Linked DNA regions of Notamacropus eugenii. The protein of the gene in region 1 interacts with the protein of each later gene in a pairwise test. Links are inferred from orthologs where the notes say so. Each region holds a gene or a part of one and is shown on either strand. Other genes may lie near its edges.

The links.
Region 2: the proteins of GCC1 (region 1) and ZNF276 interact in binary tests that used the Homo sapiens proteins (3 or more experiments, as listed by UniProt). The two-hybrid records come from large-scale screens. The link is inferred for Notamacropus eugenii from reciprocal best matches to the Homo sapiens genes GCC1 and ZNF276.

Annotation. Positions count from the first base shown.
Region 1 is NC_092874.1:122,542,020-122,550,004, reverse strand, and holds the start of GCC1 (GRIP and coiled-coil domain-containing protein 1), read right to left. Parts: upstream 3,017-7,985; 5' UTR 2,684-3,016; coding exon 1,658-2,683; intron 281-1,657; coding exon 1-280. Other genes in the region: ARF5 (ADP-ribosylation factor 5), read left to right, coding at 5,097-5,340, 6,108-6,188, 6,517-6,626, 7,419-7,490. UniProt on the Homo sapiens protein: Probably involved in maintaining Golgi structure.
Region 2 is NC_092872.1:707,617,746-707,625,460, reverse strand, and holds the start of ZNF276 (zinc finger protein 276), read right to left. Parts: upstream 3,009-7,715; 5' UTR 2,947-3,008; coding exon 2,673-2,946; intron 1-2,672. Other genes in the region: VPS9D1 (VPS9 domain-containing protein 1), read left to right, coding at 5,921-6,229. UniProt on the Homo sapiens protein: May be involved in transcriptional regulation.

The sequences.
Region 1 (7,985 bases):
TCTCCATCTTATCCTTTAGAACATTGACATCCAGGCTGGTCTCCTCATTGTGACTGTCCAGGGGAGAACGGCTGGAGGCTGCAAGAGCAAGTGTCTTATTCTCCATATCCAGCTGCAGAAGGCGATCCTTGAGCTTCTGAATTGCCAGCTGATCCTTTTGTTTAGCCTTCTCATAGGTGCCCAGAAGTTCAGACACTTCTGAGACTTGGTTCTCTAGGGCAGCCACCCTCTGTTCCTCCATCTGAGAATACTGACGGAGCTGCTCCTCTGCCAAAGCAGTCTAAAAACCAAGGAAACAAAAAAGATGAATTAAGAGAGAGTGCAGAGCTTGTCACTGAATCTAGGAAAGGCAGAGAAGAGAGAGGGCACTTAAATAGGATGTGCTGGTAGGAATGGGAAGAACTTTAGAGAACTTTTTCATTGATTCAAGCACCAACAAAACTTAAACTATTATCCACTCCCATTCTGCAACCCTGCCCTCACCCCTTGAAGACTCAGAATTTATCTCACCAAATAATATTAAGGTCATTTTCTGTGACTTGACAAAAATCACATGAGCATTAATACTATTACTAGATCAAGTCAAAACAAATGCATTACACTTATTCCCTGAGAAGCATTGTCTTCAGCTCAAGAAGCTAAAAATGAATCCTTCTCCATGAATCCCTGATCCATCCAGTTAGAAATTTTCTCTCCCGTTTTAAATTTTCCTGTGACACTTTATCTAGATTTCTCCTTTGCTCTTCTCAAACACTATCCTGTATTATACTTATCTGTGTACATGTATTGTTTCTTCCTGACACCTGCTACCCAGTAGAGTCTAAGTTCCTTGAGGCCTGGAATGTTTTTTTTTCCCCTGTGTAATCTCATTGCCTGGCACAGTGCCTTAGCACATGACAGATACATGTTTATTGAGTGTTCATGAACAGTTCTATTCTGCTTTCAGTTTCTACATTTTTGTCACACGTCTAGCATATTATGTCTATCACCCTTAATCTGCTGTTTATCCTCAGGAACTGCACGCTCCTGTATGCTACCCCTGCCTAGCAAGTCCAGAATTGAAAAGCGGTATTCTCATAAAATCCAAAACAGTATTCTGGGATAGCACATTCATCTCCAAAACAAATCCTGATTGAGAACAACTGAAGGAAACTGCCTCCTTCTGAAAAAAATATCAACCACACAAATAGAATACAGTACTTCACTGTTTTCCTTAACACAGCTGTTAAGAAGCCAATGCCTAGAATCTGGAAGCACTCCAACTTAATTCCAGACAGCACCCACAAATACCACATCCCCTTAGACGTATGTTCTGTAATTTTTGTAAACATCAATTAGACCAAGATTTTCCAGTAAATTTGTCCATGAGAAATTTTGGGTAAGGACCATGAAAATAAAGGAATTGAAAGCATGAAGAGACCTCGTAGGTAAATTTGGTCCAAATCCCTCATTTTGTAGAAGAGAATACCAAGTTCTATAAGATAAAGCAACTTGTCTATGGGTACATAGCTGTAAGTGGCATAGTAAGGATTTGAACTCTTATTACAAATTTAGCACTTCTTTCAACTACAGTATAGGGTTTGAAAAGAAGAAAAAGTCTAATATTTTTAGTCACGCATTAAGCACCTATAGATTTGAATCAGATAAGGTGAATTACCTTCCTCATTTCCTGCTGCAACTGGGACTGGAAATGACTCTTAAGGTGGGCAGCTTCTTCCTGAAGCTCTTCCAGCCGTGGGTCTGGATGAGTCTTCTCCTCTCGAAGAGCCTGCAGTTCCTGCTTCAGTTCCTCCACTTCGTGGGTCAACTGTTTGATCTGTAACTCGAACCCTTCCACCTGGTCAGCTGAATAGGCCTGTCCAGCCAGGGCTTCCCGGGTCTCCTCTAGCTGCAGTTCAATATCCTGCCGTAAGGTTCTCTCTCCTTGTAGCAGTTTCTGCAGCTCCCTCAGCATCAAAGCATGATCACTCTGCTCCTGGGCTCTGTCATGCTGCTGTGTGATCAACCTGGCTTTAGTCTCTGCCATCTGCTCCTGCAGCCCCCTGAGCTCCCCCTCCAGTCGGCTCCTTTCTTCCTCAGCCTTCCTACCGGCATCCTCCAAATCTTGTTTCATTTTCTTTTTATCAGCCTGGTACGAGGCTTCCATGCGGGACTTCTCTTGTGTCACTGTGGCCAAAGAGCTGGTCAGGGTGGTCAACTGGGTCTTCAGTTGGTGCAAACGTTTGTCGATCTCCCCGCCAACACTGGCTGGCACATCCCCACTACTGGAACTAACGCCACTCTCCGACCCACTGGCTTCCTCAGACTTCGGAGGTGCTGGACCAGCGGGCAGTCTCTCATCTTCCACCCCGAGATCACCCTTGGTGCTGGTCAGACTGGCCGTTGTGTCCAGGCTGGTGGCAGTACCAGTGCTGTCCTCACTGTGAGTGGAGCACCGGTCATCCACAGCCTCGGCCAGGGGAAGGCCTGGGGCCTGGCAGGCATCGTCAGCCTCGTGGGACGCCGAGAGCACCTTGAGGCTGGCCTCCAGGGCCTCCTTCTCCTTCAGCAGGCTCTTATAAGCCCGGACCACGTCCTTGAGGCGGGCCTGGTACTGCAGCAGCTGTTTCTTCTGCGTCTCTATGGTCTCCAGCAGGTCCTTCTTGCTAGGGCCCCCGCCGAAGTTCATGCCAAACTTCTCCATGGCAGGGGCAGCTCCCTGACGTCACCGCTCACGGAGTCTGGGGTGGGGGGGACAGTGCGGGGAGGGGTCCGACCTTACGCGCGCTCCCGCCGAGGGGGTGCAGCTGCCAAGGCCGCCATGTCAGGCGCTTTCCTGGCTCCGGCCCCAGAGGGCTAGCGGGGCAAATGACGAAGCCAGCAGACGCCGCGGCGCCCCTCGCTCCCTTCGCCCCCGAAGCGGGACAGACCGGTTCCGGCTCCGATCCTAACTCGGTAACCACTTCAAGTCAGTTGTCAACAACGCTTCCGGCTCCGCCGGAAGTGCAGGTGGGCATTCGGGATAGGCGTGCGCTCGGGGAGGAGAGGTGGGACGTAGAGCGAAGGGGTGGGGCATAAGGAGAGGGGCGGGGCCTTTGAGCGCCAAGGGGAGGGGCCTCGAGCGCCAGTCGAGCTGCTGCGGTTGCTCTTAGGCGAGGCTGGGCGCTGCTTCCTGGGGTCTGAGCTGGTCAGGGTATCTGATGCAGTGGAGGGGAAAATGCATAGAGAGACCTGTATGCACGACTGCGGCGCAGGGAATGGAGGCGACCCCCTGCCAGATCTAGGACCACCAGTTCTTCACCTCTTTTTGACTCCTGGACCCCTTAAAGCACCGTATAAATGATATTTGTTAAAATGTCTGTAGTGCTTGAAGGAGAACCCCGCCCCCCATGGGAAGCTGGGGACGGGAGTATTGAGGGGCTGTTCTCCATACCTCTTGTTACAGGACCCTGGGCAAGTCACTTAACCTGTCTGCCTGTGTTCTCATCTGTAAAATGGGAATGAAAGCACCTACCTTACAGGGCTGTTGTGAGGATCAAATAAGCAATTTGCTTTAAGTACTATACGAATACATATTATTCTATTCACCAGTCTAGAAGATCCAGAAAGCTGCAGCCATTATGGTCAGGTGCCTCCTGAGAGATGTTTGCTCTAAATTTGCAAATTGGCCATCTGCAGATCTCTGCATTCAATTCAGCAAGTGTTTATTGATACAGATGTCTAGCATTTCGTGGTGTAGTGGAAGTGAATCCTGAATTTGTGAGTAAGGCCTGAGTTTAAATCTCTCCCCTAATATCTTTCTACCTGTGCAACCTTGGACAAATCACTATTTCTCTTGTTCATTAAAGTTTCCTAATTTGTCAAAAGAGAGTAGTGGATAATCACTTATGACCTTTCCAACTCAAAAGACCTATTGTTGAGGCAGCTAGGCAGCACAGTGTTTGGAGCACAGTTCCTGGAGTCAGGAAGACCTGAGTTCAAATTCAGCCTCAAACATTTACTAGCTGAATGACCCTGGGCCAGTCACTTAATTCCATTGCCTCCAAAAAAAAGCCCTGTTTTAGAGGTGTATTTATATAACTACAGAGAAGAAAAGCAGCAAATCTGGGGACTGCATCTGAACTTGAATATGATTTCTTCCCCTAGATTTATGATCTAAAACTTATTTTACTTTTGCTGTATCCTACCAGTCAATTTAATTCAAGCATTAAGTTACTATGTGACAAGACCTGGGCTAGAGGTTGTCAGAGAGATACAAAGTACAAGAGGAAATTTCTGCTCTAAAGAGAGAAATTCTTACTTTACCCTGCCTCTTATTTACTTGAGGTACAGGGAATTGTAAGTAAACCACATTGGGGTTCCTTAGAATTAATGCCCTTGAAAAAACCCAGCTCCTTGAAAGCAGGAACTGTCTTGCTTGTATTCATAACCCCCGCACTCTGCACAGTGCCTGGAACATTTTAAAGCACTTAATACTTATTCTGTTTATTATCATTGGTGTTTATTGTAGGTCAGTTGTGATACCTGAAACTCAGGGCAGAAGTCCATAGATGCGTTCCTTACTTTATAGTAGAAGCAAGAGGTTAAGGTGATTTAAAGCACATAATATTAATGTTTTATTACCATTGGTGTTTATTGTAAGTCAGTTGTGATACCTGGAAATATGGGCAGGTTCCGTAGATTCCCTCCTTACCTTGCAGAGGCTCTGGGAAAGAATGGAAAGAGGTTAAAGAGTAAAAAACACCGCATCTTGGGGTGCCCTGGCAGGCATGGGGAAGAGAAGCTGCATCTGTTACAAATGATCCTGATGGTGGGAGGGATGATGGGCTCTGAGGCAATATTCTGGAAAGAGACCCTAATTTCTTTCTTCAACTTGCCACAAACACACAAGGTAGACTATTCCAGAATGCTGGGGGGGAGGTACGCGTTCTTCCTGAGCCTTCTTTCTGTTTCAGTTTTTCCTGGCGTAAAGAAGTGATTTAGAGTCAGAAGAGCAGGGTTCGAACCCCATCTCTCCTACATCCAGGTGACTGCGAGCAAATTACTTCCCTCCCAGCCTTAGCTTCCTCCTCTGCAAAAAGAGAAGGTTGGGCTCTAAGCTCTTTAAGGTGTGCGGGATGGGGGCGTGGCCTGGGTGGGGGCGGGGCTCTTCGGTGACGTCACGCGGGTCCTGTAAGCGCGGAGGCGGCTCCGGTTCCTGCTGCTGCTGCTGCTCTCCATCCCCCCAGCAACCTGCCGGCTCCGGCTCCGGCTCCCGGCTCCCCGCTCCCCGCTCCTCCCTCCCTGGCCCAGCCATGGGCCTCACGGTGTCCGCGCTCTTCTCGCGGATCTTCGGGAAGAAGCAGATGCGGATCCTCATGGGTGAGGTCCCGGGCAGCGTCACGGCCCCGCATCCCTCCCTGCCCACGGAGTAACGCCCTCCGCCTCCCCCGCAGCCTCGCCGCCCCCGCATCCCTCTGCCGCCCCCGCAGCCTCCCCACCCGGCCCTGCGCGCCCAGCCTCGGCCTCCCCTTCCGAGCCGGGGGTGAGGGTGGGGGTGGTCGAGAGAGGAGATGAGGGAAACTGAGGCACGGGGTGGCGGGTGAGGGAGGAGAAGGGATAAAAGACCCCCGGCCCTCGGGAGCGGGGGGCGGGGTTGGTAAGACAGGTACGGCCTGCAGCCCAGCTGGCCCAGCCTGCAGCCTCCTCCGCTTTGCAGCAGCAGCCGGAGCCTGCGGGCGCCCAGGCCGGGAACCTGCCGGCCTGGGCGGGGTTAACCCACAGGCCGGCCGCCCGCCCCCACGCGAGGCCCTTGGACACGACTGGAATGCCTCTCTGGAGAGGCAGCCCCCGTCCCTGTGGGGCCCCCACCTCCTTCCTTGAGTCCTGCCCTCCCTTGAATCCGCAGGCCCACTTTGGGTGGGGTTTTTTGTTTGGCCCTGGGCGTGCGGGTTTTTCTATGGAGGGGAAGAGAAATGGCTCGTGATGCCCAGGTTTCCCTCGGACTCCCCCCTAACGTAGCTCCCCGGAGCGGGAGATGCACGTTGAGACTTTCCGATCTCATTTTTCCCGTTCCCGAGCCCTCTCCCTCCTCGTCTCAGTCGGAGCTTCTCGGGTACCGTATCCATTACCCTGCCTCTCTATTGCAGTCGGCTTGGATGCCGCAGGCAAGACCACGATCCTCTACAAACTGAAGCTGGGCGAGATTGTCACTACCATCCCCACCATAGGTGAGCTCCTGGGACGGAGGGGAGGGCTGGTAGTCTGTGAGCGTCCCCTGTATTTCCTCTCTGGGGCCTGACCCTGACACTAGATACAGTTGCTCCAAGAAAGTAGGTCATGGTGTCTTTGGCTGATGGTGCCAGGATGTGGAAGCAGCAGCCCTGGGCCCAGTTCGGTTAATTCTTTTAAGTCTGCATGATGTTCTTCTGGGGGACTCCCAGAAGTTCTCCTGACCAAGCTGATCTCCCGTCGCTTTTGTAGAGTTGAATGTACCTGCCCACATTACAGTGCCCCTCCTCCCCCCCAGGCTTCCCCCCCTTTTCCCTTTCCTCACAGGCTTCAACGTGGAGACCGTGGAATATAAGAACATTTGTTTCACCGTCTGGGATGTGGGAGGCCAGGACAAGATTCGGCCTCTCTGGAGACACTACTTCCAAAACACTCAGGTGGGCCAGAGAGCACAAATAGCTAAATAGACACATACAGTTTCCCATGGTTCCCCGTTACCTACAAAATAAAACTCATTCCTATATCTGGTATCTGTTAAGCACCTACTACGTACCAGACTCTGTATTAAATGCTAGAGATAAAAATAACACTTTGCCCTCAAGGAACTTTTATTCTACTTTCTAGCAATTTCTTCAATTATTCCCTTTTTGAGTCTAGCCACCTTGACCTAGTCTGTGTTTCTTAAACAAGCTTTCCTCGCTTTATGCTTCTATTCATGGCTCCATCTACCTAGAATATTCCTCTTTTCACCCTTCTCCCCACTCCAGTCTCCTCCCTCCACCTGTTGAAATTCTGTTCATCCTTCAATGAAGGTCCCACCCAAATACCACTTCCATTTCTGTGAAGCTTTCTCTGCTTTCTCCAGTCAGAAGCACTTTTTCCTTTCATGTTTCTGTAGTTTTTGCTTATATCCTATCTCTAAGTGGTCCTCATGAAATTCTTCCCCACGCAATATTGGTATACCTATCCTTGTACATTAATAAGTGTTTTGAGAGTAGATAATATATATGTATATATATTTTCCCTCTTAGTGCCTTGCATATAGTAGATGCTGAAAAGGGAATTAGGTTTTAATATATATTGTTTTGTTTCATTTTTTGAATGAAAGACAGTTGAGTCCATTGATGGATGAAAGTGGAGTTATAGAAAATGTAAGGAAAGGGATAGAAAAGATAGAACTATGGTTCATTTTCTTTGGGTGAGCTAACTGCTCTTTCTTCCCACCCTAGGGTCTTATCTTTGTAGTGGATAGCAATGACCGAGAACGGGTCCAAGAATCTGCTGATGAGCTTCAGAAGATGGTGAGTGCCAGATGGGCTGTGGAAAACATTGGACATTGAGCCCTCTCTCTCATGAGTCAGAAATAGCGGAGACCGTAGAAACACAGACTAGTTTTCAGTCTAGGCCAGGAGATCTGAGTCTTTTTTTGGTTTTAAAATCTCTTGTGTTGATTCATCCTGGGTAAAGAAAGAGAAAAGTTCTCCCCCTTATGTTATGGGATGAAGCAAGTAAAATAGTCTTTCTTTTTATCCTTCTGTCATGTTTATGTGGGATATTGATCGAGGTAGGGAAGGGAGATAGGTTGTGTGTTGTATCTTTAATATGTTGAAGTAGATTTCTATCCCATTTACCAAGAACAGCTATGGGTCATTTTATAGGGCCAAGGTGATTTCATTCAGATTAATAATACTATTTTATTTTTATTTTAATGCCTGTGGTATTATCTATATAGACCAGCATTTCCTTAAGCAATCTGGCTATAGAACAATGTGAGGCTTGAAATATATAAATTATAT
Region 2 (7,715 bases), on another chromosome or scaffold:
GAATAAATCTGTTTCCTACTATTTATGCCTAGAGACAACACTCTAGCCTGACATGACCTAAAGAGGAAGAATTCTCAAAACCCTCAAATATTGTTCTCCTCCTCCCAAACCTAAGAGAGGCAGGCTGAAGCAATGCAAACTCTGACACTTTTAATGGACATCTCATCTCACATCAAGTTGGAAGAGGCAGAGTATTAATATTGGGCGGCCTTTCTCCCATTCCCCACCCCTTTCTCCTAGTTAAATCATACTTCCTCTTCTCTGCATGGTCTTACTCCCAGTTCAGTGGACTCAGTAAAACTATGGCTCAGAGTGCCCCCTAAACAGACACAAGAAATCTTTTCTCTGGCAGACTTCAGGCCTACTCACCAATCTGGGAGGGGGTCTGGCACCACCCACTGCTTACTCCCAGGATCAGAGTTACACTTTAGTCCCCTAATCAGCTTAACTAAAGTTCTGTTCATGCTAATACAGTGTTTGAGACTAAGGAAGCAAAGATAGAATGAGGCTTCCCAGATTTCTGAGAGGCTGGCTGTCATCTTGCATTTTGGTAAGGAAACTAAAGGACAGAATCTTCCAAAGAACTGCTTTGGCAGCTTCTCCAGAACTCTTCTCCTGACTCTCAACAAAGACCATCTACTCAGCTTCAAGAGATAGGTTCTGACCAGCTCACCTTGGGGTTTTAGTGCCCATTCCACAACTAGGTAAGTCCTAGTGATTTTTACTTTTAACTCTCAACATAATTAATATAGGTGCAGACCAGTTGTGGGCCTCCAATCAAAAACTGTGGCTGGTAGGAAAAGAAACAAAGTAAATACTATGTAGCAAAGTAAGGTAGACTAGCCCTCAATGGGCCAAAGGATGGGAACAGGGCTAGAAAAGCAAGCAAAGTTCTGGTGCTATCACAGAGATTTAGTGACCTCCTCTCACCCCAGTCTCCAAAAAAGGAAGAGAAAGGTATCAGGAAGTGGACAGTGTAGCATGTGAGGAGCACAAGTTGAACTATGATGAAATGCACTCGAAGTCCCCATCCCCACTAAGCTGCTCTGGCTTTCAGCACTTGTGAAACCAATTTATTACCAAACTGGTGGCTTTCACACCCACCCTCTCTAGTTACACTGTAGCCAGATAAAAGAAAGAAATACAGGAGGAATGCTTATCTAACAATGGAATTTTAAATGACCAACTTTCTAATGTTATAAAGTATTACCTAAAGGGAAAACAAATTGATTCTTGATCTCCTAATTTAGATACCAAGCAAAGGACTTTGAAGTCGGCTTTGTAACTCTTGTTCAGCCGATTTTCAGACACGTCTAACCCTTTCTGACCCCATTTGGGGTTTTCTGGGCAAAGATACTGGAATGGTTTGCCATTTCCTTCTGCAATTCATTTCACAAATGAAGAGACTGAGGCAAACAGACTTCAGTGACTTGCTCAGGGTCACACAGCTAGTGAATGTCTGAGTCAGACTTGAACTCTGGGAGAGGCATCTTCAAGCTGACTTCAGTTGATCAGGTTGAATAGAATACTTTTTACATACATGGTTGTGGGCCTGACCACACAGCCTAGAATCATTGGGTCCAAAGTCCCTACCATAGCACCAATTCACTGATGGTTAATTGTTAAAGTGATAACTGTTCAGTTCTCCCAACCTAAAGAACATACAATTGATTCTCTCTCTCTTCCTCTCCCTCTCCCTCTCCCTCCCCCTCCCCATCCCTCTCTCTCCTATATAAGTTGACTGTAAAGAAATGATCCTGTACTTAGCTATAGTGAAAAGTCATGCAAAGAGAAAGAACTCTTGGGGGTTAAAGGTACCACACATGTGCTAATGAAGAACATGACTTCCTCTAGTGACTGAAGGAAGACATGGGGACAGATGAATGGTGACCTGAGAAAAACAGGCTAATGATGGACTTGGAAGTGCTGTGACAAAGGCTACTTTTATAGATTTGGGATACCATTTCAAATGTACAACACAAGTGACCACTGCCTGAAAGCTCTCAAGACAGAGAGTAGAGTATCAGAATTTGAGAAAATCTGACAGCTTACAGGACAAACCTGATTCAGCTGGGATCTGCCAAGCCCTGTGTGACCTTGGACAAGTCCCTTAATTTTTATGGGCATCAGTATTGGACTAAATGATCTCTAGGGCCTCTTCCAGCTCTAAATTCTTGAAGTCCCTAATTCCTACTAGTTGGGAGGCAACTCTCCAGTATTCCTGTGGGGTAGGAGGACACAGCAGGCAACCCCTCCGATGTCTGTGATTTTATCAGCGAGTTGTGGGGGGTGGGGGGGGGGGTTCCTAGAGATTTCTCCAACAATGTATGAAAAGAAAAATACTAATATGATAGGAAAAGACTGGGAGACTGGTTGGGTGACCTTGGGCAAGTCGATTCCCTCTGGGCCTTAGTTTACAGGATGGTGATGATGATGATGATGAATTGGGGGGAGGGGTTTAAAAAATGCCCTCCCAGTAAAACTCTTGAGAGGGAGGAGACAGGCTTTGGGAGTTCGGGAGAGTCTGACATTGGGATGGCTGGTCCCTGGCCCCCGGGAGCTGAAGAGGGTAAGAGGCTGGCACCAAGAACCCGAACCAGACTCAGCGAGGGCGGAGCGGGGACTCGAACTCCCAGCTCGGGAGCTTACGCGGGTCCCGGGCCAGCACTCACCTGCCTCCTCGGGGCCGTCCTCGGTCACGGTCACGGCTGCCTCGTCGTCGTCCTCGTCTTCTCCGCAGACCCGGGGCGGCCTCCCGCCCCAGCTGCCCCCGGGCCGCGGCGGGGCCTCGGCAGCCCCCTCGTCGTCCTCTTCCGGCCCCGAGCCGCCTCCACCCGCCCGCGGGGCCCGGACCCGGTTGCCCGGACCTCTCGTGGCGGCAGCCCCGAGCCCGCGCTTCCCGGCCGCCCCCGGGGACAGGAAGCGGCCCAGGCGGTCCCGCTTCATGGCGGCCGCTGCGGCTGCGGCTAGAGGCCGGCCGCGCTCATGGCCCGCCGCCGCCCCCGTCGCCGCCGCCGCCGCCGCCGCGCCCCTCTCCGGGGCCGGGGGAGGAGCCTGGCCGGGCCGGCGGGCGAGAGAGGCGGCCGGAAAGGCGGCACGAAGGGCCCCGGCGGCAGCGGCGAAGGCGGCGGCGGCAGCGCTCTCTGCCGGCCCAGAGCGGCGCGGGCCCGGCCCGGCCCTGGCCCAAGGTCACCAGCGAGCGCCCGAGCCGACGCCGCTGGGCCTCTGGGGGCCGCGAGGGGCCGGGCCGGGGGGCACTAACACTGGCCCTCCCGCTGTGACCCTGGAAAGCAGATTCACCTGCGGCCGCGCCGAGCTCGGAGGGCAAATGTTCAACAACCAGCTCTCCTCTGACCCCAAATGTGTGCGAGGCTCACTTGGATGCTTTATCTGTCCTCCTTAAATCTGGACAGTCCACAAACTCAAACCCTGACTCAGGATTGGCCCATTTCTGAAGTGTAAATATTCTGCCCGGAGCTAGCTCCTGCACACCTTGACCCAACCTTTGCCAATTTCCAATAGAGGAATTAATTAATTAATAGGAGATTAATAGAAATCTCCTCTACTCGATCCCAGACCCCGCCAAGCTGAGGGTGGACGCTTTTCCCTTAAGCAGGAAAGCATTTTCTAGCCTCCCTGCCTTAACTCAGGCTCCATCGTAGGCTCGAAATGTCCTCTTCCCCCTCTTCTACCAAATCCCTAGAGATCTTTCAAGGTCTACATCCCTCCGGAAACCTCCTTTTTATCCTTTATAAAAATCTTCGTCTTAGACTTCATTTTATTTTCTTCTCTAATGTGAGACATGATCCCTGTTTATACCAGCGTCTCATCCCCCTTCCCAGCTGTGATCTCTAAAGGCAGAGACTTGTTTCTTGCCCCAATTTTATATCACCCCCACACCTGACACAACATTGTACACACAGTGGTTATTTAATGAATGCTTTGTTTTTCTATAATAACTCACATTTAAAGAATGCTTTTTGGGAGGTCCAGACCAGTGATTTCGAAAGCAGCAGGAACTCCTGGTGTTGGACTGTCTTCCACCAATGCAGATCAGCAGTCGAGTATAGCTTGTAAGTCAAACAGTTTTATGAGACACAGAGAAGTAAAGGGACTTGCCCATGGTGACAAGTGTGTGAGAGAGAATCTAGGTCTTCCTCATTCCAAGGTTTATTATCTTCTATCCCTTATCCCAGTAGTCTATGACACTTAATGGTTTACAAAATACTTTGCATACCTTATCTCATTTGATCTACATAACCCGTGAGGGGAATCAGGGTAGCTGGCATTATCCTTATCTTACAGAGAAGGAAATTGAAGCCCAGAGAGATTTGCCCAAGGTCACAAAATTATCCGAGCTCTAATTTAGAACCCGCACTTCAGACTTCAGAGTTGCTTGAACTGACCGAGGTGCTGAAGACTACAGACAAGGCTAAATTAAAATCAACTACAATAAGAACAGCTAGCATTTATTTATACAAAGCTTTAAAGTTTAAAAAGTGCTTCACCTATGTTAACTTATTTGATCCTCACAATAAGTGTGGGATTTTTCATCTGTTTCCCATCTTTGCCTGAACTGGCCAGAGTATTGCGATTCTGAAGGCTAAAGAGATAAGCAGAAATTAATTTTAATTCATCCAGGTTCACCAGTGGAACTTTCTCCCTGTTTTCCTTTTTTTTCTCAACTTCTCTACAGCCTCCTAAGTCCTTCTACTCTTTGCTTCGGTGAAGTACAAATTACTGACGGAAACCATTCTTTTCCTTTTTCTGGATAACCAAACCCAAAATTTACTATCCTCCAGACATTAACAGTAGGACTAATCATGAGTCTGGAGCAAAGTGGTAGAAAGAGGGGGAAAAAAGTAGCACTTCAGAGAGCTTTGCCGTTAACTAGCTGGGTGACTTTGGGGCAAGTCTCATTCCTTTTCTGAACCTTAGTTTCCTCATCTGTAAAAGGCGTGAGTTGAGAAAGATAAGCTCCTTCCAATTCTGACAAACGTATATCTTCTTAAAGAGGAAAGAGTGGGGAAGGGATAACGGGTGAGGGGAGGGAGATAATTTGGAACTGAAAAGAAAATTGAATTAAAGAAAAAACAAAAGGGGACCTTTCAGATCCCTCCAATATTGTAACTAGATATTGAGGCTTATCCTGAACTGTGCAATTAAAACCGAGGTAACAGTCTCCACACGGGATCATTGAGCAAGTGCTGGAAGGGTCTTCACCCATCTAAACGGCTTAAGAAGACAGTGGGGCCAGGGGAGGGGATGTGAGTGGCTTGCACATGCACCGTAAGCCGCAGAGGTGGGAGGAGAACCCAGTCCCTCCGACTCCCGCCCGGCGTAGGTGCCAGACAGCGGGCCTCCCCGGGATCAGGACCCACGACTGACAGCTGCGAGCTGGAGCAGCCGGAGCCTCCGCAGACTCAGCTGGTGGCGCTCTCCTTAGGTGGAAGGTCTTTCCTCCTCGGAAGTCCGGAGCCGGCTCAACCTCTGCAGGGGCGGGGGAGGGGCCTCGGCCCCCAGTCTTAGTCACCAGAGCTCGTTCCCCGGATTCGGATCTCCTGCGTGGCACTGCTGTGACCTCTAGTGAAGCAGTTCCTTTTTCTGTGCCTCAGTTTCCTGCCGTGTAAAGTGAAGAGCTGGATTAGAGGGTCGCTATGGGCTCCTCCACCCTCCGCAGTATATATTCCATTTAGTTGGGGATTTTGCGCTCGTTCGCTGCCATGACAACTCCTCGGGCTAGGCCTCGGCCTCCTGGGCTTTCCCAGGATTCCGGGAGCCAGGCGTGGGCGGGGCCAGGAGCGGCTGCGCGGGCCCTTTAATCATCAGCAGAGGGCTAGGGCGGGGCGGGGAGAACCCTGCTGGGCACGCGCCGGGGGCTGGCCGCGAGCCCGCTCCCCTCCCCGAGGAAACCGAGCTAATGAGGAGCTGTCCGGAACTTCCTGTTAGTCCGTACGCTAACGCCGTCCGGGTGGAAGGAAGTGCATTAAACGTGAGCACCGCCGGGACCTCTTTCCCTGGACGCAAGGTTCCGGCTGATCGCAGGCCCCATGCCCAGCCCCGCCCGCCGCCACCGCCGCCACCGCCGCCTCCTCCCCGCAGCCGGGCGGGCGCCATGGCGGCTACTGCGGCGGCGGGGGCCGCGGGGGACGGCGCGATGAAGCCGCTGCAGAGCGCCATGAAGCTGGCCCACGGGGCCATCGAGCTAGACGCTGGCAACCAGCCTTTGGTGAGCGGGGCCGGGGAGCCCCGGGAGGGGATCCGAGGGGGAGGGGCGGCCCCTGTGGAGAGGGGGAGGAGGCGGGGAAGCCCCCGTGAGAACGAGAACGGAAAGGGGGAGGGGCAGCCCCCGTGGAGAGGGGGAGGAGGCGGGGAAGCCCCCGTGAGAACGGAAAGGGGGAGGGGCAGCCCCCGTGGAGAGGGGGAGGAGGCGGGGAAGCCCCCGTGAGAACGGAAAGGGGGAGGGGCAGCCCCTGTGGAGAGGGGGAGGAGGCGGGGCAGCCCCCGTGAGAACGAGGACGGAAAGGGGGAGGGGCAGCCCCTGTGGAGAGGGGGAGGAGGCGGGGAAGCCCCCGTGAGAACGGAAAGGGGGAGGGGCAGCCCCTGTGGAGAGGGGGAGGAGGCGGGGAAGCCCCCGTGAGAACGGAAAGGGGGAGGGGCAGCCCCCGTGAGAACGAGGACGGAGAGGGGGAGGGGCAGCCCCATGGGAAGGGGGAGTCTATGTGAGAAAGGAAAGGCGCCCCCCGCCCCCCTGGGGCTCACTGTCCCTGTAGAAGGGGGGATGCCCTCGCACCGAAGCCCTCAGGTATTGGGAGATCTCCGGCTCCCGGCTCCCCAGCTACATTCACCGTGTGTTCTCCTTAACCTCCTGGGGCCCCGGGCTGGGAGATGCTAAAGTAAGAGCGAACGGGCCGTGGTCTGGGAGCCCCGGGACCTTGCCCTGGTCCCCTGGGAGATGGGGGGCGGACGCAGGCAGAGTGTGGTGAGGAATCCGCGGGGGGACAACTGGCCTTATTAAAGGTACAGCCCTTCCCGTGGTCCTGAATGGTTGGGGGGAGTCCCGAGGATGAGCACTGACAGGCCTCCCCCAGGGTGCAGAGTGCTCCTGGGGCATTCGATGGGGGGACCCTTCACTCGAGGCAGATCTCCACCCTCGTGCGCCTGTCCTGCCCAGCCCGTGACCGCCCGGCTTTTGTAGCTAAAGATAAGGTAGTTCCTCGGGGAGTTGTTTGGTTTGGAATCCTGACTCCCAGTAAGTAGTCAGGAGTAATAATAGTGAATAAGAGCGAGGCCCTGAGAAGGATTGTGGATCGTTAATAAGACGCACAAGTAGAAAAGCAGGCTGAGCCAGCTACTAGACTGGCCGGGATGGAGGAAGGTGCTAAATGCCAGGTGTAGGATGAAATCCAAGTTCCTGAATCTAGTTCCTTTTTTCTGAGTTTATGTTCCTGGGGATCATGTTTCTCTTGATATCGGGAATTCTGTACAGAATTCGTATTGGCCTCCTAATGATTACTGAAGGTCAACAGTACTTTAAGTTGCAGACCTGAGATGCTGGAGCCCCATTGAGGTTCCACAGCTCTCAACTATGTCAGACTGGGGTAATCTCCCCAGGGGATGTTTAAAGGTGCAAAGCAATAAGGAGATTCCCCATTTTTGAAAGGAACTCTCAAAGCATCACATAACCCCAGTGGACTGAATCATATATATGCATT